Oryctolagus cuniculus: one gene and its partners. The protein of the gene in region 2 purifies or fractionates together with the protein of the main gene of each other region. This does not show direct contact. Links are inferred from orthologs where the notes say so. Each region holds a gene or a part of one and is shown on either strand. Other genes may lie near its edges.

Region 1 (4,502 bases), on a different chromosome or scaffold from region 2:
AGACCAAAACCAGGAGTCTCCCCTGGGTCTCCTACATGGGGTTGGGGCCCAAATACTTGGGGCATTTTCTGCTGCTCTCCCAGGCACACCGGCAGAGAGCTGGATCAGAAATGGAGCAGCTAGAACTTGAATTGGCACCCACACAGGATGCTGGCATTGCAGGTGGTGACTCTACCCACCACACCACATCACCGGCCCAGGTACTTTGATTTCTAAAGTTAATAGGGGTAATGTGCACATGTATCAATTTTTCTTTTCTCTTTAGTTCCTAATGTTAATTATTTAAAAGGAACTATTTTGATTTAGAGTACTAACATATAAAATTATATTTATTTGTGCATTCACAAACATGAGAACTTGCTTGAATCCCATCCCAGAAAGTCTAGCTTGAACAATGTTGTCAAGAGTTAGCATATTTAATCAAAACAAAAACATAAGGCTTTATTTATTGAAGGAAATCATTCATTTAAAAACTAAAATATAAAAAAATCCATTTATTAATGGTTTTAACAATATATTTTAAATTTGGCCTTTAGTAATAAAGTAGGAATAAGCAGTTTAGAAAGTTAGGATATAAGCCATAGTGTAAATATGACAAACCCCTTCAGTGGGGTATAGTTCATTAAAAATCAAATAGCTTGTTTAAACAAGGAAAAAGCAGGCTAACATTTATTTAATAAATGCATTCTTTCAGTTATTTAATCAGGAAGTGGTTTAGGCATTAAAAACATCTGATTTTACTGCCTTCTTTTAAAAAGTGATTGTAATCTTTTTTCTATAATTTTTAGCATAGCAGTAAAAAAGTAAATGCTGCTCCTAAATTTTAATGATAGGATGTGTCAATAAAATAGCTTTGATATCGCTTCTCCTATAGCACTTTCACTTTAGCACCTATTTCATTTTGCCTTGTATCATACAATTACATGATTTTCTATCTCTATTTTAAGTTCTGAAGTACAAAGCCAGTGACTTTCTTTATTTCTTCAAATATTTCTCAGCAAAGAGTATATTAGATACTTATTCAACAAAAGAAAGGATCACGATCCTCATGAAGCTTATGGAAGGAAATCTGAGAGTCAGTTGCAAATAGAAATATGAACAATAGCATATTGTACAAAGGAAAAGTACAATCAAAGCACCACAGCAGGTTTCCAATACTTGTTAAGCAGATAAAGATAGAAGTAAATTCTGAAAATCAGAATAACTACATCCCTCAAGAACAAGCAGATTTATTGCTTAATTTTACCTTAATATCTGTGTAAGCTGGGAAATTGTAGTCCAACCACCCTGGATTCGAGAGCAATCTTGACTAAGGACCAAAAGGCAATACTGAATGAGGTCATAACAATATATATCTTGTTTGATTTTCTTCAATTCTGAGCTTCCTAAAGGTGTGTCATTTATTATTTCTAAGGCAAAGAGAAATAAGATATACTTATTTTTGTTCAATATATCCAAAATCTACTTGTATTTTTATATGTTGACTAACCATTAAAAATAATTAAAAGGTAAAGCATTATCACTGTTATAGTATAGATTTCTCTGGACAAATGAGAAGTTGTAACAATGATGAAATTATTTTTTATTTAAACCACATTACACAATCACAAAATGATTTTCTTACCTTTTAACTTCAACAATATAACAGGAACATTCTGCTCAGGACTTTTTGCAACTTCAGCAGCTAGAGATAAAATCCTTGGGTCTGTACCTGTTGGCTTCATTTCTTATACAACCTACATTTTTAACAGAATAGAGAATAAAGTATTCATTACCTAAATAATGTTTGTTACATAAATGAAGATAGCTTTTCTTGCCTTATTTGAAAAGAGAAGAGTAAATTTTTATCACATCTTGGGAAATAGTGGAAATAATGGCAGTTTAACGTACTGTACCACAATTCCTGTCCCAGGCTTGCTCTTTTGTAACAACCCTGTAATGAGGACTAACCAGGGTCCACAAAGAACAATAATCCCTTCTGAAGACAGCCTCCCAAATGACCTATTTATTTCATACTAAACCCCACCCAAAAAAGTCCCACTCTCTTAACACCATCACACCGGGGCAGTTTCCAATACATTAACCATTGAGGGACAAACCAGATCCAAACCATAGCAGTGACCCATCTTTCAATAAAAATTCTAGTCACTGGGGCAGGTGTCTAGCCTGGTGGTTAAGATGTCAGTTAAGGGGCTGGTGCTGTGGCATAGTAGGTTAAACCAAAAAATCTGTCATGATTCTAACAGCATGTGGTGACAAATTAAATCAAATCAGTTTGACTCCAAAGTCTATGGTTTTAAATACTATATTCCCTCCTATGTAAAATAATAATACAAATCATATTCCCAAATATCCTACTTCTCACTTTTTTCTTTTTTTGACAGGCAGAGTTAGACAGTGAGAGAGACAGAGAGAAACGTCTTCCTTCCGTTGGTTCACCCCCGCAAACGGCCGCTACGGCCGGCGTGCTGCGCCGATCCGAAGCCAGGAGCCAGGTACTTCCTCCTGGTCTCCCACACGGGTGCAGGGCCCAAGGACTTGGGCCATCCTCCACTGCCTTTCCAGGCCACAGCAGAGAGCTGGACTGGAAGAGGAACCAGGACAGAACCGGCGCCCCAACTGGGACTAGAATTTGGGGTGCCAGCGCCGCAAGCAGAGGATTAGCCTAGTGAGCCGTGGCTCCAGCCTCTCACTTTTTACAACTATTATTCTTCACAACTAGCACTATGGTTCATCCTTTATATTGAAGAGTTGGCCATCACACAATAAATCATCTCATTAAGAAAAATATAAATCATTAATAGATAATACCTGGTCAATGGGAAGCCCAAAACATTGCAAAAGAGAACACATAATAATCTCATTCTTTCCAATGGTTAAATTACACTATGTTTCCTTTATAAAGGTGCATCAAGATATATTCAAACCTCGCCGTTATTTGAGGTCATTCAGGTTAACGTTAGCATTAAGCAATGCTACAATGAATATTGATGTATGCATCTTTATGCAATCATGACAGAATTTATATAGGATGAATTTCCCTTGATATTGGGTCATAGGATATATATATTTTAAATTTCAAGTAGAATCAGTTTTACTCCAAAGTGATTGTTCCAGTTTATACTTCTACCAAAATATGACGATTCTCATTTTACTGCACTTTTTAAATACTTAATGTTAACTTTCACATTTCATTTGCTAAATGAAAGATGGTATGATCTTGTTTTAATTTGTATTTCTTTGAGTATCAGGTAAGTCAGGCACATTTTATGATCACTGGCCACTTTTTCTTTTTATTATTATTATTATTTATTTGAAAGGCAGAGTTACACAGAGAGGGAAACAGAGAGGGTGATCTTCCGTCTGCTGGTTCACTCCCCAAAGAGCCACAACAGCAAAGGCTGGGCCAGGCCAAAGCCAGGAGCTCCTTCCAGGTCTCCCACTTGGATGCAGGGGCCCAAATGCTTGGGTCATCCTCTGCCACTTTCCTAGGCACATTAACCGAGTGCTAGATCAGAAGTGCAGCAGCTGGGAATTGAACTGGTACCCATTTGGGATGCTGGTGCCACAGGCAGTGTGTGACTTAATCCACTATGCCTGCCCCTCATTTTTTCTTCTATATATTTTCTATTCATATCCCTTAACCTTTTTTTATTGGCTTGTTGTATTCTTTTTTAAGCTTTTCACTTATGAATATGAGCTTTTATTTAATTTGAGAGGCATAGAGGCAGACAGAGTTGCTATTGGCTGGTTCAGTCCACACATAACCGCAACACCTGGGGTTGGGCCTGAGGCCCGAGCCAGATGCTGGGAGCACAATCCAGGTCTCCCATGTGGGTTGCAGGAACCCAATTACTTGAGCCATCACTGCTGCTTCTCAAAGTTTACATTAGCAGGAAGCTGGAGTCAGGACTTGCAGCTAGGAATTTAATCCAGGTACTATGTATGGAATGTATCTCAACTACCAAATTAAATGCTCACTCCTAGTTTTATAACTTTTATGCAAATATAACAAGCTTTTCCTCTCCACTTCAGCCTTTTGTATCACACTTAGAAGATCCTGTCTACCCCAAGAGCTAAAACACATCAAGTTTTTTAGTGTTTCTGTGGTTTTTCTTATATTTATACCCATGAATGGTTTGAGAAAGGAATTCAACTGTATTTTCTGAGTTAGAGGAGGTTACAGACTGGTTAAAAAAGGACAAATGCACAAAGAATTAATAAATTCCTGAGGTAACTGGTCATGAATAGACACAACACAAACCATGTGAAATGCCATATTTTCATACATTAAGTATACATACACACAGAGGATATATTTTTGGATTCTATTTTGTCTGTGTATTTATTTTTGTGTTAGTCCAACATAATTCATTTTAGTATATATTTAGAGAAAATTCACACCAGAAGGTAAGGTAAATCTACCTTTTGTAGTGGCTGTCTTAATTTTCATTTACTACTATAGCCTCAGTGGCTAGACAGGTGCCAGGTATATGGTAGGT
Region 2 (4,502 bases):
TATTTATATAAAATTTACATTTATATCTTAACTTATAAACATTAGGTAATTAATTGGCATATGAAAATAGAAGAACTTCGTCTTCAAGAACTTAAGCTAAATCGAGAGTTAGTCAAGGATAAAGAAGAAATAAAATACTTGAATAATATAATATCTGAATATGAACAAACAATCAGCAGTTTGGAGGAAGAAATCGTGCAGCAGAACAAGGTTTTATTTAATTTACTTTACTGGGTTTTTTTTGCTAAAATTTTATACATAAGAACATTGCATGAATGACTAGCTTATTCTCCCAGTTGAATGTATCACTGATTAGTAATAGATTATAAAATAATCTGTTTTAAAAATGCACATCTGTATAGTTGTCATAACAGTAGTTTTCAACTAAAATGGAGCAATTCATAAGTGAACTTATTTGGAAAGTTAATTTTCAAATTGATACTTGTTATTTGAGTTTTCACAATTGCAAGTTTAACTCACTGATGGAGAAGAAGGTATTGTGGTATAGAGTAAAGCATGTTTTTTTAGAGACAGACCAGATTCATCAAGCACATGCTTGCTTTATAGATTTGTTGTTCCCTTGCTTTGAATGTTCTTACCCAGATGCCTGTGGTGTTTGTGCTTCTACTGCCTTCAGATCTGACCTTAAGTATCTTACCTTCTCAGTGCAGCCTCTGGGGCTCTATCAGGTGCACTTTATCACTCACCTCCTTAGATAACAACAAACTTGTGTTACAAACTCCTGTTGAGTTTCCCTAATAAAGATTACTTCTATTCATTTTTCTTCTTGGCACTTATTATATATATCACCTGCTTATCATTGTCTCTCTTCCCCTCACCAGAATCTAAGTTCTGTGGTGAAAAGGACTTGGTTTTTTTCATTGCCGTGTGTGTATTGCCTAGAATAGTCCTTAGCATACAATTTGCTTATTTGTCACTAGTTATCTTTTGGAGGGATGAATGAATGGGTGAACAGATTGAAATCCTGAATTCATACTTGCCTATTTCTATTATCGCAGGCAAGTTACTTCACTTCTCTGAGTTTGTATCCTTTTCCATAAAATGAGAATGATATCAGTGACTATAAAATGTTGTTGTGAGGATGAAATAAGAATATGTATGTAAAATTCCTTGGAGTTTGTGTGTGTGTGTGTGTGTGTGTGTGTGAGAGAGAGAGAGAGAGAGAGAGAGAGAGAGAAAGAGTGAATATGCGAGAGACATGCACACACACACACAAACATACAAACTGTACTTTTTCAGTTTCATGAAGAAAGACAAATGGCCTGGGATCAAAGAGAAGTTGAACTGGAACGTCAATTAGACATTTTTGACCATCAGCAAAATGAAATACTCAATGCAGCACAAAAGGTATAAATGATTAATGCTGTTTCCTACTCTGTAGCCTGGTCTAAGGAGTATTAACTGAAATATTTTCTAAATCAGATGAAATTTTAATTGATGTCATCTTTTTATATTTAAAATATAAGTCAAGTTTAATGTATATTTTACTGTATAGTTGTAAGAATATTGTTATTAAAAATCTTTTTTAAAAATATTATTTTTCCTAATAGTTTGAAGCAGCTACAGGATCGATGCCAGACCCCAGTCTGCCCCTTCCAAATCAATTGGAGATTGCTCTAAGAAAAATTAAGGAGAATGTTCGGATAATTCTAGAAACACAGGCAACATGCAAATCACTAGAAGAGGTAATTATAAGAATTTGCATTTTGATTAGTGTATTATTGGGTATGCTTGTTGACTTTTCTAATTAATATTTATTAATACTAATGATAAGGCATAGAAAATTGAATCTGTTTCTAATTCTACTGTTTTACTTTTCTACTATTAAGTTTCTAATAGCTGACAGTGGACACCAGATATAGTTAATTTGAATTCACTACTCATTTAATTACTACTTGTTATTTTGGGGCATATGTTCAGTAACAATGAGAATAAAAGGAAGCAAAATGAACATTTGATTTTTAGCTTTATGAGCTGTATATTACCTTCTGCTAGATGATCTTTTCATCCTTATTTTAAGTTTTCTTTTGAAGTGTGTATTGCATTCTCTATGGATGAATTTTCAGTTCATTCATTTCTATGAGGGATATAAGGATTGAAAGTAAAGTAGAAATTACTTGATATTTTAATCTAGGTCTTGAATTTGATTAGTAAATGATCAAATATGTCTTTATTAAACTATTCATAAAATAATATAAACTGAGTGTTTCGTTTTAGTTTCTATCTAAACATGCTAGTTATAAAAACATTTTAAAGCAATCTTTCAAGTGTATTGTACATTTTAATAAATTCAGAAAACTTAGTTTTTCTTCAATAATTATCAGACTTGTCATGTATGTGAATTATTGCTGAGTTCCTTGATTTCAAATGTCTGTCTTAATCATACTGAAAAGTAAAACTTTTTTCTGCTTCATTTTAACTAGATTTCATAGTAGTGATTCATGGACCTGGTCCTCTAAAATTCTAATTTTGTATTCAGCTGACTTTTTTTATGATTTATTTATTTATTGGAGAGACAGACTTACAGAGAGAGAGGGCGAGATAGAGATCTTTCATAAGCTGGTTCACTCTCCAAATGGCCACAGTGACCAGGGCTAGGCCAACCAAAGCCAGGAGCCATGAGCTCCTTCTGAGTCTCCCACAAGGGTGGCAAGGATCAGGAACTTGGGCCACCTTTTGCTACTTTCCCATGCTATTAGCAGGGAGATGGATCAGAACTGGAGTAGCCAGGACTCAAACTGGTGCCATATGGGATGCCAGCGCTGCAGGCTGCAGCTTAACCCGCTATACCATAGTACCAGCCCTACTCAGCTGACTCTTAACGGATTATTCTAGTGCCCAGATAGCAGGCCAAAATAAGAGATTATTTATTATATTTCTTTCTCAATCTTGTACCACTACACAGCTATAGGATCTAAAGTATCCAAATTTAATTCTATCATCATCCTAAAAGTGGTTTTTAACACATATTAAAATGTACATGCAAGTAATTGTATTATCACCTTCAAATAGTCAGTTTCATATTACTAAAATCAGATGGCTGCTAAATATGCAAAAAATAAGTGAAATTCTTTTTTTTGTTTGTAACTAACTGAAATTCAGATAATGTGTTTTAAAGGAAATAACATAAATTAATAATTTACTATGATTTGATTACAGAAGCTTAAAGAAAAAGAATCTGCTTTACGGTTAGCAGAGCAAAATATTCTGTCAAGAGATAAAGTAATCAATGAACTGAGGCTTCGATTGCCTGCTACTGCAGAACGAGAAAAACTTATTGCTGAGCTAAGCAGGAAAGAGGTGGAACCAAAATCTCATTACACGTTGAAAATTGCACACCAAACCATTGCAAATATGCAAGCAAGGTTAAATCAAAAGGAGGAAGTATTAAAGAAATACCAAAATCTTCTAGAAAAAGCCAGAGAGGTATTTTATATTATGTTATGCTATTTTATTTATTATCTTGTTTTTTAGTCAAATGCCAATTATTATTCTGCCTTAAGTGGGAGTTCATCTGTTGTTTTCAAATGATTCTATTTAGGAATTATAACTTTCACTTGATTGGGTTACAGATCTACCAGAAGAACTGGCAGTTTGTATAGATGTATATTTTTTCTCTTTTTTTCCCCCAAAGGAAACTTTATTTAATAAGTACGAATTTCATAAGTACAACTTTAGGAATATAGTGATTTGTCGCATCATACCTGCTCTCCCACCCCCATTCCCACCCCACCTCCTCCCTCTCCCATTCCCAGTCCCATTCTCCATTATGAAAAAACAACAATAACAAGAACAATTGAAAAACAAAAACAAAAAAACTGTCCTTAGTAGTAAGACAAGGGCTGTTCAAGTCATTTCTGCTCAAAGTGTCAATTTTGCTTCTACAGATTGCCTTTTAGGTGCTCTGTTAGTTATCACAGATCAAGGAGAACATACAATATTTGTTTCTTTGGGACTGGCTTATTTCACTAAGTATGATGTTTTCCAGATTCATCCATTTGGTTGCAAATGACCAGATTTCATTTTTTACTGCTATATAGTATTCCATAGAGTACATAGCCCATAATTTCTTTATCCAGTCTTCAGTTGATGAGCATTTAGGTTGATTCCATGTCTTCGCTATTGTGAACTGAGCTACAATAAACATGGGGGTGCAGATAACTTTTACTTGCTGATTTTCCCAAGAGTGGGATGGCTGGGTCATATGGTAGGACTATATTCAGATTTCTGAGGTATCTCCAAACTGATTTCCATAGTGGTTTTACTAGTTTACATTCCCACCAAGAGTGGAATAGGGTACCTTTTTTCCCCACACCCTCACCAGCATGTATTGTTTGTTGATTTCTATATGAAAGCCATTCTAACTGAGGTGAGGTGAATCGTCATTGCAGTTTTGATTTGCATTTCCCTGATCGCTAATGATCCTGAGCATTTTTTCATGTGTCTGTTGCTCATTTGGATTCCCTCTTTTGAAAAATGTC
Region 3 (5,203 bases), on a different chromosome or scaffold from region 2:
AGGAAAAAGGTAACATCATGGCTTAACCACTATCACCAACTCTTAATTGTCCTCCAGCACTTTCGCTGTACGTATGCAAACCTGATGGGAAAGAAATGCCATGGAATCCCTCAGGGAATAGCAGAGACCACTCCCAACTATGCTGGAAGCCCCTGTAGAAGAAACCTCTTGAACTTTGTATAAGTAACCTTCCCCCACATGACAGGGCAAGACACACAATAGATATTCAAGAAATAACTATTCACTGATTGATCTTTCTTCATCTTCACCCATGAGTTTGGAAGAGAAACAGCAAAGAAGCGTGAAGATATTTCGCACTGGAAATTATCAGTTGAGAAATGAGGCTGTGAAAAACTGCACAAGGGCAAAGGTCATCCTGATGGAGAAAAAACTGTGTGTGAGACAACTACTGGACTTCCAAGGCTCGAGATTCGTATTTGCCAGTGGACGGCAAACATTTCCTAAAATCAAGGTCGACCAAACTGGCCTTCTTTGTTTCCACATGAACACAGTAGAAAGGGTCTGATCTGACAATCTATCTCAGCTATGAGGGGTGGGGTTCTCCTCCCCTCCCCCGTATTCTATTTTTTTTTTAACCCTTTGAATGCAATCCACTGAAGGCCTGCCCCAAAGTGCCTCCCAAACAGCGGTGGGAGCGCTCTGGGAAGCCCTTGCGGAAACACTTGGCGGAACTTTGTTCTCCTCACGGACTATTTAGCAGCGGTTTGGTTTCCACCGGGGGATTCCACGGCCTCCTCACTCTTCTCTCCAGGCAAACAGGAACCAAGCGTGGTGATGCTGCCAGGCGGGCCAGGGAGGCGCTGGCCATGGTCCTGACCTCCGAGCTCGGGACCTGGGCGGAGAGGGCGCCGGAGCAGGTGCGGCGCCGAGCGGCGGTCCGAGCCCTCGCCCCTCCCGACCCCCCGGGAGCCCGCGGGCCTCCACGCCAACCTCCACCGCACGCTCCGAGCTGCATCAAAAAAAGGGTGGGGCTCCCAGCCACAACTGCAACCCGAAGCCGCCGGCCCGGGAGGACTTAAGAAGAATGGAACCGCGGCCCACCCCTCTCCCAGGGCGACCCCCTCTCCTCCCAGACCCCGATCGGCCAGTCCCTGACGCCCATCCACTTCCCAACCCCCGAGCCCGGGGAAGCGCGAGCAGCCTTTGTGGGCGCACGGCCGCCCACCGCCGCGCCCTGCGCGCAGAAGGGGCGGGCAGGGTGGGGTGCGCGTGCGGAGGCGGAGAGGCCGCGGTCGCGGCAGGGCACGAAGGCAGGCGCCCAGGCTGCAGGGGCGAGGGGCGAGCTGGCGCCCGAGCGCCCGCACCCACTTACCTCCCCGCACACACCCACCTGGTCGTAGATGTTCTGTAGGGCTTCCTTGCCCGAGGCCCGCCGTATCTCCACCTTCCTGCCGGATTCAACAGATGGCTCCCCGCCGGCGCGCCGGCCCTGCCGCGAGTACGGCGTCTGAGGGTCCGGGCCCAAGTGGGCGACGTCCCGCTGCTGGGCCACCACCTGCCCCGAGCCCCGGCCCACCGACAGCGAATCGAAGTCGATGGTCTTGTTCTCCGAGGACCCTTCCACCGGGCAGAACATGCCACAGAATTTCTGCCGCGGCTTGGGGCTGCCCGAGCCCAGATTTTTAAAAAAGGCAGGGACCTCTTCGTCCTCTGCCGCCTTCCCGGACTGCTTCCTCTCGGCCATGGCGCGGGGCTGGGGAGGGTCCCGTCCGTGCGTGCGTGCGCTGGTCCTTCAGGCTCCCTCTCCGCGTGCACAGACCGCGCTGCCGCTCTCTGCCCACCGCAAGGTGCACAGAAAGGAAGGCGGGCTGGCGAGCGGGCGACCCACCCTCCCGGCCCCGCCCCCTGACCCCGCTCTCTCCCCTCCCTGCCCACGCCCCCCGCGCAAGCTAGCGGCAAAGTTGAGTCTGGGAGGGCCGCCGCTGCGGCAGCCGGAGCCGAGACGCGGCCGGTTCCCGGCAACGTGGGGCGGGGCGGGGCGCGCGCGGGACCCGGGCGGGGGGGGGGGGGGAGGGCGGCGCCTCGCGGAGCCCCGCGCTCCGGAAGTGAAGCGGCCAGACCCCCGGCTAATGGATGCGGAGCGCAGGGCGCGCTCGCCGCTCTCGGCGCCACCGTAAGTAGCAGGCCGAGCACGCGCGGAGAGGACCCATGGGCGCAGCCCCGGCGCCCCGCTCCCCCGCCACATTGCGGAGTGGGTCGGGGGCGAGGCCGCAGAACTCTCCCCCCCGCCCCGCTCCGTTTTACCCGGGTGGGAGCTGGTGGAGGGGGAAGGGGCGACCAGCTTATTTAGGCACCGGGATTGTCACAGGGAAGGCGTGGCGGAGAGGGTGGCAGTAGGAGTGGGAAAGGTGTGGCGCAGGCGGCGCCGACCGCACCGGGGGACCCCCCAGGCTCGCCGACGCTAGTACTGCCGTGCACCGACGCCGAGGGGGGCGGCAGGAAGCAGAGACCCGCGAGAAGGTTCTCGCAGGTTGCACGTGGTGGAGGGTGCGGAGGCGCAACAAGGCCGGGAGTAAAGCGCAGGGGCGTTGCAAAGTGGAAGACGGGGTAGCGTAGCGAGACGCAGGTGGACGGTTTGTGTGAGCGTAGGCAAGACTGCAGCCTGCACGTGCCAGCCCAGCGGAATCTGCAGAGAGAGGTTGCAGAGTCGCTGTATTGCCTGAGGGCCGCCATGCCGCCTCTGCGCCAAGATTTGGTATCTTCCATCTCCCCCGCCAAAAAAAAAAAAAAAAAAAGGTGGGGGAGAAGCGGGGTGAGGGCCACTCCCTAAGCCTTCAGCCTGCTCCCGCATCCGGGCACTGTGTCTGTGCCCCCTCCCCTCGCCCCTGTTGGCGCAGTGCGCCAGAGCGGCGGGCGGAGGAGGTGCCTCGATCTGTGCGGCGCCCCGCGGAGACCAGGTGCGGACCGCGGCGCCGGCGGCGCGGCTCTCCGGGGCGCATGGCGATTCGTGTGGATGAGGCTGGCCCTGCCATGCTCGTCTCCACGGCCTTCCCCCGTTTCAGCCCCTCCTTTAGCAGTGTGCTGAGGGAGGTCGGCGCTGAGAGAGGCAGCAGACCACGGGCCCGGTGACCGAAGACTCAGCCCGCACCCCCAGAAGGATGAAATTAAACCACGCTTCCCCACAGGGCGAGGCCCGGTCGGTCGGCTGAATAAAGTTTGGAGGAGAACCAGTCAGTCTGTGGGGACGGCGTCTCCGCCAAGTGGGAGGGGCCGAGGAGCCAGGCAGGCATTTTGAATCCCCGCACCAGATGTGCTTTGCATTTGAATAAAGCGCTTCTCTCTGAGTTACATCATTTCCTACTCACCGCAGTCCTGGGAGAGGACGGGTTTTATCACCAGGGCTTTCCAGGTTAGGAAACTGAAATTCAGGGAGATTGGAGGCATGCTGCCCAAATCTAGTGAAATGACCCAGTAATAACAGTGTGGGGGGGGGGTCTTCCGGCTCCAACTGCGGGTGTGGTTCCCTGAAATGTGAAAAAACTCAAGAGTCGGACATTTTTTCCACATCCAGGGGTTTCCATCTGGGGCCCTATTCCACGTTAAATGCATTGCCCTCGCCATCTTTCTAATTGAGGGGCAAGGAGGGATGGCACTTGAGAGAGTGGTCCCAAGGTGACAGCTACGTGGGTCTTAGAGGTGTTGCTTTCTGAGCGTTCAAAGCCTTTCCTCCAAGGGGCAGGAAGGCCAGCCCCATGGTGTAGAAGGGAGAAGTTCATCATGGAAGAGCCAGGAGTCTCCAGCCCCCGGAGCTGCTCAGCGCAGACTTCCCTGGCACCTTCCAGATGGACGCGGTATGTCTGCCGCTGGTATAGCTGCAGGTGACTTCTGTGGCATCTGGACGGCTGATGGAAGTTTTCAGGCCAAAGAGGAAATGATCTTAGCTCCCTGACACACCCTCCCCAGTGCTGATGATCGCAGTCCACAAGCAACAGTGGTGGTCTCCCCAAGAGTGTATCATCATGACCATCCTGGTTTGTGTCAGTCACTCAGTGGTGTTCACCCAAGGTCCAGATCACAGTGCCTTTCTCTGAACAAATCTTCACCACTAAGCCGCACGTGACTGAGGGCATTAGGAACTCTTGCCTCCCCAAGTTCAACGCTGGGAAGAAAGTGTTGTGTTAATAACTTACTCTTATCAGCCCTAAAGGTGTTCATATCTGGCTAAAAAGCCTATGAGAGTATCTCAGGCATGGAAAGCCAAGACACTGTGGCAAAAAATGACCTAAGTAAAAGATCTCTGTGAGTGAGATCCCAGCGGAAAGAATGGGCCGTCAAAGAAGGAGGTACCTTTCCCTGAAGGGAGGAGAGAACTTCCACTTTGATTATGGCCTTGTCTAAATAAGATCAGAGTTGGCGAACTTAAGAGGCTTCCATAGCCTTGGCAGCTCCTGATGACAAGAGCCTTGGGTGACTACTGACGTCATAAATAAGAGTGTCAATTGTTAACAACAGGAGTCACTGTGCACTTACTCCCCATGTAGGACCTCTATCTTTAATGTGTTGTACTATGCGAATTAACAGTAAAACTAGTCTTCAAACAGTACTTTACACTTTGTGTGTCTGTGTGGGTGCAAACTGTTGAAATCTTTACTTAGGATAGAGTTGATCTTCGGTATATAAAGATAATTAAAAATTAAAAATGAATCTTCATGAAGAATGGGGTGGGAGAGGGAGAAGGAAATGGGATGGTTTGCGGGTGGGAAGCTGGGTGTGGTGGGAAGAATCACTATCATATAAAAGTTGTACTTTTGAAATTTATATTTATTAAATAAAAGTTTTCTATTAAAAAGAACTTATTCATAGCACAAAAAAAAACACCTACTTGTGCATTTGCAGAGCCTCACCAGGCATACTAAAAGGGAATTAATTGATAATTCCAAAGTAACTCATTCATCCCTGAGCTTTGTCTAGTTCTTATACCTATATTTTAAATGTACACGTGATTCTTGGTTGGATTTTTTTTTTATCAAGGGAAGCAACAATATTACTGAGTAGATGTAATTGAATTATGAAGGGTTGTCCTTTTTTGAGTAATTGCACTTTAGAATCATCAGCACTGGATATTAGCGAGGCCTAAAAACATGTTATTTATGTGTAAAGGTCTGCTTGACGTGGCTGAAGCACCACTGCAAAGAGGCGACTGACAGCTTCCTGTGCTTGACTCTCAAAGAACATTCTGGAA
Region 4 (4,502 bases), on a different chromosome or scaffold from region 2:
ATGACCAACCTGCAGTCAGGTGCCCGCACTGGCAGGGGTGGAGGCGCAGGCCTGGGGTTTCCTGAGGGGAAGAAGCCTGTGTCCTAACCAGGGCGTCCACCTCCCGCACCAGGCACCATCATGATGAGCGGCTGTGGGATCCTCACCAACGGCAAAGGCACCCGCCGCGAGTACTGCGAGTTCAGTCTGGATGAGCTGCAGGTGCGCGGGGCCCAGAGCCTCCGGCCGCCCTCCTGGGCGACGCGGGGATTCTGTGTCCCTGGCTGGCCGCCATGCATTCAGTGGTCTCTGACCCAGAACTGAGGTTCCTTCTGAGGAGGTGGGGTTGCCCGGCAGCCTCTAAAATGAGGCTGTTCACAGCGCAGCACGTATTTTATAGGTTGAGGTTTGAGGGAGTTGACGCCCGTAAGACGGTTTAACTCAGCGCCTGACTTGCACTGAGTGTTCAGGAACTGCAGACGTGGCCATGTGTGGAGAACAGGGCCCGGGCACCTGTCCTCCTGTGCCCCAGGGTGATCTGAGGCTAGCGTGGACATCTCTGGGAGCTGCTGTCCTGTGGAGGGGGTGGCAGCAAGGCCCAGCGCTGTTCTGGGGCCTGACGGTGGGTAGATTCCAGGCTCACGGCTTTTCTGCTTTGAATAGGAGGGAGACCACATCGGCCTCACGAGGAAGTCCAACTCTGCCCTGCACTTCTTCATCAATGGCATCGACCAGGGTGAGGGGCTGCTCGCAGGTGCTGTTGGGCCAGAGCTTTCAGCCGGACGGGGAGCATAGGGTCAGGACCTCAGCCTCCTGCCTCTTGTGGGTGCTCGGTTTCCCCGTGGTTGACTCCCCTCCCCCCGTTCTCCACTGCACAGGTGTGGCCACCCCGCTGACGCCCCCAGTGGTGTACGGTGTGGTGGATTTGTACGGGATGGCAGTGAAGGTGACCATTGTCCACAATAATAACCACAGCGACCGTCTCCGCCGCAACAATGCCATCCTGCGGGCACTGTCCCCCGAGGGCGCCCTCCGCCGAACCGCTCCTGCCGCCCAGGCGGAACCCGAGCGCCTGCTCTTCCACCCTAACTGTGGACAGAAGGCAGCCATCACCCACGAGGGACGCACTGCCCTGAGGCCCCAGTATGGCCCACGGGGTGGGGAGAAGCCTGCAGAAGGGGCTCTAATGGGACTGGAGAGGGGGTGGCTGGACAAGTGAGAGGCAGAGGGAGTCGGGTCTGGGGCGTTTTGGACAGGAGAGTGGGGCGCCTCCCGCAGTGGGAGGTTCAGTTGGTTGGCTGGGGCTGGCGGGCGTCACTGGGGGAAGCCTTGACACCGAGTGTTGGGATCTGACTCCCCATGTGCTGTGCCCTCAGTGCCACCGACGACTTCAATCATGGCGTGGTACTCAGCAGCAGAGCCCTGCGGGATGGAGAGGTGTTCCAGGTGCGCATTGACAAGATGGTGGACAAATGGGCTGGCTCCATTGAGATTGGCGTCACCACTCACAACCCTGCCTATCTCCAGTTGCCCTCCACCATGACCAACCTGCGCTCTGGTGAGCTCCCGAGAAGGCCAGGGCCAAGGTGGGGTCCCAGGGAGGAAGCTGTCCCCGAAGCCCTGACCCTCATCCTCATCTAGTGGCTGGGGAGCACCCAGTGGGCAGGGCAGAGCTGTTCTGCGGGGGCTGCCATGCAGAGGAGAGAGGCCCCGCCTTCCCTCTCGTGTCCTCTGCCACTCCTCATCCCCCTAGGGACCTGGATGATGACCGGGAACGGGGTGATGCACAACGGGACGACCATCCTGGACGAGTATGGGCACAACCTGGACCGCCTCAAGGTGGGAGAGTGAGGGTCCTATCTGGGCACAGCAGCAGGGGAGGCAGGCGAGGGGGGCCGATGCAGGACCAGCCCAGGCAGGAACTCCGCCTGACTCCTCACTCTAGCCCCCCTTCTTCCAAGGCAGGGGACACGGTGGGCGTGGTGCGGCGGGAGGACGGGACGCTCCACTTCTTCGTCAACGGGATGACTCAGGGCCCCGCCGCCTGGAACGTGCCTCCCGGCGTCTATGCCGTCGTTGATCTCTACGGCCAGGCAGCCCAGGCCACCATCGTGGACGACGTGGGTGAGGGCCGGGCAGCGCTGGGCAGGGGCTTGGGGTGGCCTTGGGAGGCCTTAGAGACACCTGGCAACCCGACGGGTGACGTCCACTCTTGCAGAGGTGCCCCCGGTTCCTGAGCCCCTCCCTGAGGGGAACAACCAGGTGTCCCCGAGCTCTCCGTCGTCAGGGGCCGGGGGCTCTGACCTGCGCTTCCACCAGCTGCACGGCAGTAACGCCGTCATCACCAACGGCGGCCGCACCGCGCTGCGCCACAACTGCCGCAGCGAGTTCAACGACGCCATCGTCATCTCCAACCGGTCAGTCTGCGCGCTGGCGCTCCTGCTTCCCGCGGCCCCGCCTCAGCCTCCCCAGGGCCTCTCTCACTGCCGCCTCCTCGGCAGGGCCCTGCGCGACGGAGAGCTTTTTGAAATTGTCATTCAGAAGATGGTGGACCGCTGGTCAGGCTCCATTGAGGCAGGTGAGGGACATCTGTGTGAGTGCTGGGGGGTCCTGGGGCCTGTGGCCTCGGGGTCAGTGCTGACCAGTTCCTGCCTCCTCCCCAGGAGTGACTGCTATTCGGCCTGAAGACCTGGAGTTCCCCAACACGATGACCGACATTGACTATGATACGTGGATGCTGAGGTTGGGCTTCCTGCCTTTTTTTTTTTTTAAAGATTTATTTATATATTTATTTATGTGAGAGGCAGAGTTACAGAGAGAGGGGGAGAGAAAGTGAGAGAGGTCTTCCATCCGCTGGTTCAGTCCCTAAATGGTCGCAACGGCTGGGGCTGGGCCAGGCTGAAGCCAGAAGCCAGGAGCTTCCTCCGGGTCGCCCATGCAGGTACAGGGTCCCAAGCACTTGGGCCATCCTTCGCTGCTTTCCCAGGTCTTAGCAGGGAGCTGGATTGGAAGAGGAGCAGCCTGCCAGTACTGCAGGCTGAGGCTTAGCCTTTGATGCTGTAGCACCAACCCCAGGCTTCCTACTTTTAAGAGCAGCTGAGGGGAGGCTGAATGGAGCCGGCTGGGAGGGGCAGAGCCAGGGGACTGGCGGTCCCTTCTGTCACAGAAGCCCTGCCTAGCCCTACAGGAACTCGATCTTTCTTCCTTGTAGGATGGTTTCTGCTTTGCCCTGGGGGACCTCAGGATGGGGCTTCTGGCCCAGACCAAGACCCCAGTCTGGGTCTGACCAGCAGGGACTGAGCGGGGGCCAGTGTGGGGATGAGGCTGGGAGGCTGAACACACTCCTGCCGTCCCTGCAGCGGCACCGCCATCATGCAAGACGGCAACACGATGCGCAACAACTACGGGTGTGACCTGGACGCGCTGGGCACGGGGGCGCGCATCGGCATGATGCGCACCGCCAAGGGCGACCTGCACTACTTCATCAACGGCCAGGATCAAGGCGCCGCCTGCTCAGGCTTGCCTCCGGGTAAAGGTGACTACTCTGTGGCTTTGGGCCTGCACCCTCAGGCCGTGCATCCCAGACCTCGGGCGTCTGACCGTGGCTTCCTCTGCCGTCCAGAGGTGTATGCAGTCGTGGATCTCTATGGCCAGTGTGTGCAAGTGTCCATCACTAACGCCACCGGCCCCATGGACAACAGCCTGGCGACCAGCAACAGCGCCACCGAGAAGTCCTTCCCCCTGCATTCCCCAGGTGCAGTGGCAGGGAGGGGGCTGCAGGCTCTGCTTTCCTGCTGTGGGCCCTGGGGGTGCCGCAGGCACAGCCCACAGTGGCACGCTGTCAAGTGGGGGAGGTTATGCCTGGTACACAGAGCCTGACACCGTGGCCTGGGCGTGCCAGGTGTGGGCACGGGTGGTGTAAAGGTGTTGGGGCTCTAAGGAGTAGTGGCAGAGGGGGCCCTTTGTGTCCACTTCCCACTTCATCTGAAGGCTCTGCCCTGTGTCTCGCGTGAAGCCTGCAGCCCCAGTCCTACCCCTTCCCTGGTGCCGTCTTTCACAGTGGCTGGTGTGGCTCACCGATTCCATAGTACCTGTGGCAAGAACGTCACCCTGGAGGAGGACGGCACGAGGGCCGTGCGGGCGGCTGGCTATGCTCACGGCCTCGTCTTCAGCACCAAGGAGCTCAAGGCTGAGGAAGTCTTTGAGGTGGGCTGTGCAGGTGGGACAGTGGGCGCCGCGGGCAGCACGGCAGGGCCAGCTGATGCTGTCTCTCACGCAGGTCAAAGTGGAAGAGCTGGATGAAAAGTGGGCGGGGTCCCTCCGGCTGGGACTGACCACACTAGCCCCAGGGGAGATGGGGCCTGGGGCAGGCGGTGGCCCCGGGCTGCCTCCCTCCCTGCCAGAGCTCCGGACGAAGACCACCTGGATGGTGTCCAGCTGTGAAGTGAGGCGTGACGGGCAGCTGCAGAGGATGAACTATGGCCGGAACCTAGAGAGGCTGGGGGTGAAGCAGCTGGCTCCGG
Region 5 (4,502 bases), on a different chromosome or scaffold from region 2:
ATGAGAATTGTGTTCAACCGATAAAAAATGAGATGAGTAAAGAGGTAAATGAGAAAAGTAGGCTGTTACCTTGTTCTGAGCCAACACTAGTCAGTGCTGTCCTAAAGGATGATAACCATAATCTTACATCTTCTCCTGAGTCAGTTGGACACATCTCTCATATACAGCCAGACAGTGAAGAAACTATGTCTCAAACAGCTTCAGAAAAAGTTCCCTGCAGGGTTTTAACCCAGAGATCTGTTGCTTTGGGAGAAGATAAAATTGCACTTCAGAAGTTGAATGAGGCAGCCACTAAGCTTCAGGCCTGTTGGCGGGGCTTTTATGCCAGGAACTACAACCCTCAAGCCAAAGATGTGCGCTATGAAATCCGGCTGCGCAGAATGCAGGAGCACATTGTCTGCTTAACTGATGAAATAAGGAGGTGGGTTAAAAATCCTGTTGGAGTTCTGTTTTGTTGGTTTGGAGTGTCAAGTTCTTTTTTTCTTTCTTTTTTTCCTTTTTAAGATTTATTTATTTGAAAGGCAGAGGTATAGAGAGAGAAGGAGAGACAAAGAGACAGAGAGACAGAGAGAGAGATCTTTTATCTACTGGTTCACTCCTCAAATGCCCACAACAACCATAGCTAGGCCTGGCCAAAGTCAGCAGCCAGGAGCTTTTTCCTGGTCTCCCACATAGGTACAGGGGCCCAAGGACTTGAACCATTCTCTTCTGCTTTCCCGGATACATTAGCAGAGAGCAACTGGAATAGAAGTGGAGCAACTGGAATTCAAACCAGTGCCCATATGGGATGCTGGCGCTGGAGGCCATGGCTTAACCTGTTGTGCCACAGTGCCAGCCCCAGGTTCTTCTTTTTAACATCCTAAATATTTTTTTTTTTGACAGGCAGAGTGGACAGTGAGAGAGAGAGAGAGAGACAGAGAGAAAGGTCTTCCTTTTCCGTTGGTTCACCCCACATTGGCCACTGCAGCTGGTGCACTGTAGCTGGCACGCTGCGGCTGGTGCACCGCGCTGATCCGAAGCCAGGAGCCAGGTGCTTCTCCTGGTCTCCCATGGGGTGCAGGGCCCAAGCACTTGGGCCATCCTCCACTGCCCTCCCAGGCCACAGCAGAGAGCTGACTGGAAGAGGAGCAACCAGGTCAGAATCCGGCGCCCCGACTGGGACTAGAACCCGGTGTGCTGGTGCCGTATTAGCTCATTGAGCTGTGGCGCCGGCCTAACATCCTAAATATTTCTTCAAGATTTATTTATTTATTTGAAAGTCAGAATTATACAGCGAGAAGGAAAGGCAGAGAGAGAGAAAGGCCTTCCATCCAATGGTTCACTCCCAAATGGCCGCAATAGCCGGAGCTGCACCAATCAGGAGCCAGGAGGGAGACCTCCGGATCTCCCATGCAGGTACAGGGGTGCAAGGACTTGGGCCATCTTCCACTGCTTTCCCAGGCCATAGCAGAGAGCTGGATCGGAAGTGGAGTAGCTGGGTCTTGAACCGTGCCCATATGGGATGTCAACACTTCAGGTGGTGGCTTTACCTGCTACACCACAGTGCCGGTCCCAACATCCTAAATATTTTAACCTGAAACATATAAGTGTACATTTTTCAATCTTTTGAAGTCCAATCGAGGTTTTTCTTCTTTGCTATTTGGAATCCAGCATTCTTTCGGCATAAGCCAAGGCATAAGAAAATCTGTAACATTTCTAATTTGAATATATTTAAAGTAAAACAGGACCATAAATATATGAATATAAAAACTATTGAGTGAATAATTCTGGATATTTATGATTTTTTCATCAGTCCTTCCAAGTTGGGATCCAGAAGCAATTTGTTGTTGTGCTTTTTGTTTTTTTCTGTTTTTTTGTTTGTTTGTTTGTTTAAGATTTATTTGAAAAACAGAGTGACAGAGATCTTCCATCCACTGATTCACTCCCCAAATGGCCACAGTGGACAGCACTGGGCCAGGCCTGAGCCAGGAGCCGGGAGCTTCTTCTGGGTCTCCCACAAGGATTTAGGGACCCAATGACTGGGCCATTTTTCATTGCTTTTGCAGGCCATTTAGCAGGGAGCTGGATCAGAAGTGAAGCAGCTGACATTTTAGCTGGTATCCATATGGGATGCTGGTGCTGCAGGCAACAGCTTTAACCACTCTGCCATGGTGCCAGCCCCAAGCTTTTTTTTTTTTTTTTTAGATAAATTTTAAGTTTACATTATAGTCAAAGGCTAATGGCTCTATTAAATAAAGAATTCAACAAATAAAAAGCAAAAAGAACATTCTAGAAGGTAAATGGGCAAGAGCTATTAAACAATAATCAAAGGAAAAGATGTTCAACTTTGGTCATATAAATTTTAAAGTAGTCGCAAAATCATTAAAACTATAATAGTATATAATTCCTTTCAATTTATTTAACAAAGATTTAATACAAAGTTTGACAAAGTATTGTATTTGTAGCAGTGCTGATACACATGAAATATCTTTAATTATTATTATCTTTTTAAATTTTAGCTCCTACATTCAATGGAGAACATGTGGTATTTGTCTTTATGTGTCTAGCTTGTTTCACCCAACATAATGTCGTACAGTTCCAACCATTTACTGCAAATGATAGAATTTCTTTCTTTTTTATAGCTTCATAATATTCCTGTGTTTATGTGTATGTGTGCGTATAAATACACACACCAATATTTTCTTTATCCATTCATCTGATGATGGATACCTTAGTTGATTCCATATTTTCACTATTGTGAATATTGCTGCTATAAACATGGTGGAACAGATATCTCTTTGATACAATAGGTTTGTGTCTTTTGTGTATATACCCAGTGGTGGAATTGCTATGTCATATGGCAGGTCTATACCTAGTTTTTTAAGAAATCTCCATAATCTGAGGCCAGTGCTGTGGTGCATTAGGTTAATCCTCCACCTGCAGCACCGGCATCCCATATGGACGCCAGTTCTAGTCCCGGTTGCTCCTCTTCCAGTTCAGCTCTCTGCTTGGCCAGGGAGGGCAGTAGAGGATGGCCCAAGTGCTTGGGTGCCTGCACCCGCATGGGAGACCAGGAGGAAGCCCTGGCTCCTGGCTTCAGATCAGCGCGGTGTGCTTGCTGCAGCAGCCATTGGTGGGTGAACCAATGGAAAAAGGAAGACCTTTCTCTCTGTCTCTCTCTCTCTCTCTTACTGTCCACTCTGCCTGTCAAAAAAAATTTTTTTAAAAAGAAATATCCATAATCTTTTCCGTAGTGGCTGCACTAATTTTCATTCCCACCAGCAGCATATGAATTCTCTTTTCTCTATTTCCTTGATAGCATTTGTTGCTCTCTGTCTTTTGGATAATAGCCATTGTGACAGGAGTGGGGTGATACTGTAGATTTGGTTTGCATTGCCATGATGGCTGGTGATACTGAACTTTTTTCCATATATTTGTTAACCACTTGTATTTCTTCTTTTGAGAACTGTCTATTCAGTCCTTTGCCCATTTCTTAAGTGGATTTGTTGTTTTTGTTTGTTTGGGTGTGGTGGATTCATAGTTGATTCAGACAACTATGCTACTGCTGTCATAACATATTTTATACCATGTAGCTAATATTAGTTTAGTTTTTTTTTTTTTTTTTTTTTTTGGCTAGGAAGTATATGCCGCATCTTTTTTTTCCTAAATTTTTACAAAGGTTTATTTATTTGAAAGGCAGAGTTACAGGTTGGCAAGGGCAGAGAGAGAGGTCTTCCATCCACTGGCTTACTCCCATATGGCTGTGCTGGCTGGAGCTAGGCAGATCTGAAACCAGGAGCCTGGAGCTTCTTCCTGGTCTCTCGCCTGGTTACAGGGGCCCAAGGATTTTGGCTATCTTCAGCTGCTTTCCCAGGCACTTTAGCAGGGAGCTGGATTGAAGGTGGAGCAGTCGGGACTCAAACCAGCACCCATATGGGATTCCGGCACTGCAGGTGGCAGCTTTGCTGCTACACTACAACGCTGGCCTCTACTTGTTTGTTTTTTACAATACACTGAAAGCATATTTTTTAAAAAAGATTCATTTATTTGTTTTAAAGGCAGAGTTAGAGAGAGAAGGAGTGAGAGAGGGAGGGAGAGAGAGAGTTATTTTGCATCTGCTGGCTCACCTTCCAAATAGCCACAACAGCCAAGGCTAAGCCAGGCTGAACCCAGGCTGAATCCAGGCTGAAACTCTATCCCAGTTTCCCATGTGGGTACGTGGTACAGGTACCCAGGTACTTGGGCCATCATTTACTGCTTTCACAGGCAGGTGCCTTAACAGGGAGCGGGATTGGAAGTGGAGCAGCTGGGAGTTAAACCAGTACCCATATGGATGCCAGCATTGCACGCAGTGGCTTAACCTGCTGTGCCACAGTACTGGCACCCTGCAAGTGTCTTGAATGCAAAGACTTTGCGTCACCATTTTCGGCACAGCAACTGGTACATAGATGCAGGGGTGCAATGAATGTTGAGTGACTGAGCTTTACAGGCAGGTGTAATTATACACACATATACAGCCAGTG

Evidence for each region.
Region 1: the proteins of CEP290 (region 2) and IQCB1 purify together in Homo sapiens (co-immunoprecipitation; 8 studies listed by BioGRID and IntAct, counting the BioPlex papers as one, with this or other methods). This does not show direct contact. The link is inferred for Oryctolagus cuniculus from reciprocal best matches to the Homo sapiens genes CEP290 and IQCB1.
Region 3: the proteins of CEP290 (region 2) and PNMA2 purify together in Homo sapiens (co-immunoprecipitation; 3 studies listed by BioGRID and IntAct, with this or other methods). This does not show direct contact. The link is inferred for Oryctolagus cuniculus from reciprocal best matches to the Homo sapiens genes CEP290 and PNMA2.
Region 4: the proteins of CEP290 (region 2) and NEURL4 purify together in Homo sapiens (affinity purification with mass spectrometry; 3 studies listed by BioGRID and IntAct, with this or other methods). This does not show direct contact. The link is inferred for Oryctolagus cuniculus from reciprocal best matches to the Homo sapiens genes CEP290 and NEURL4.
Region 5: the proteins of CEP290 (region 2) and CEP97 purify together in Homo sapiens (co-immunoprecipitation; 4 studies listed by BioGRID and IntAct, with this or other methods). This does not show direct contact. The link is inferred for Oryctolagus cuniculus from reciprocal best matches to the Homo sapiens genes CEP290 and CEP97.

Annotation. Positions count from the first base shown.
Region 1 is NC_091435.1:78,107,502-78,112,003, forward strand, and holds part of IQCB1 (IQ calmodulin-binding motif-containing protein 1), read right to left. Parts: intron 1,737-4,502; 5' UTR 1,725-1,736; coding exon 1,625-1,724; intron 1,410-1,624; coding exon 1,247-1,409; intron 1-1,246. UniProt on the Homo sapiens protein: Involved in ciliogenesis. The function in an early step in cilia formation depends on its association with CEP290/NPHP6.
Region 2 is NC_091442.1:90,754,342-90,758,843, reverse strand, and holds part of CEP290 (centrosomal protein of 290 kDa), read left to right. Parts: intron 1-45; coding exon 46-210; intron 211-1,260; coding exon 1,261-1,368; intron 1,369-1,571; coding exon 1,572-1,706; intron 1,707-3,180; coding exon 3,181-3,447; intron 3,448-4,502. UniProt on the Homo sapiens protein: Involved in early and late steps in cilia formation. Its association with CCP110 is required for inhibition of primary cilia formation by CCP110.
Region 3 is NC_091433.1:47,728,468-47,733,670, forward strand, and holds the start of PNMA2 (paraneoplastic antigen Ma2), read left to right. Parts: upstream 1-2,036; 5' UTR 2,037-2,134; intron 2,135-5,121; 5' UTR 5,122-5,203. Other genes in the region: DPYSL2 (dihydropyrimidinase-related protein 2), read right to left, coding at 1,352-1,705.
Region 4 is NC_091448.1:51,923,119-51,927,620, reverse strand, and holds part of NEURL4 (neuralized-like protein 4), read left to right. Parts: coding exon 1-19; intron 20-112; coding exon 113-201; intron 202-642; coding exon 643-715; intron 716-857; coding exon 858-1,122; intron 1,123-1,355; coding exon 1,356-1,537; intron 1,538-1,732; coding exon 1,733-1,818; intron 1,819-1,940; coding exon 1,941-2,103; intron 2,104-2,197; coding exon 2,198-2,396; intron 2,397-2,480; coding exon 2,481-2,557; intron 2,558-2,642; coding exon 2,643-2,721; intron 2,722-3,338; coding exon 3,339-3,514; intron 3,515-3,601; coding exon 3,602-3,733; intron 3,734-4,039; coding exon 4,040-4,185; intron 4,186-4,258; coding exon 4,259-4,483; intron 4,484-4,502. UniProt on the Homo sapiens protein: Promotes CCP110 ubiquitination and proteasome-dependent degradation. By counteracting accumulation of CP110, maintains normal centriolar homeostasis and preventing formation of ectopic microtubular organizing centers.
Region 5 is NC_091435.1:56,375,107-56,379,608, forward strand, and holds part of CEP97 (centrosomal protein of 97 kDa), read left to right. Parts: coding exon 1-421; intron 422-4,502. UniProt on the Homo sapiens protein: Acts as a key negative regulator of ciliogenesis in collaboration with CCP110 by capping the mother centriole thereby preventing cilia formation. Required for recruitment of CCP110 to the centrosome.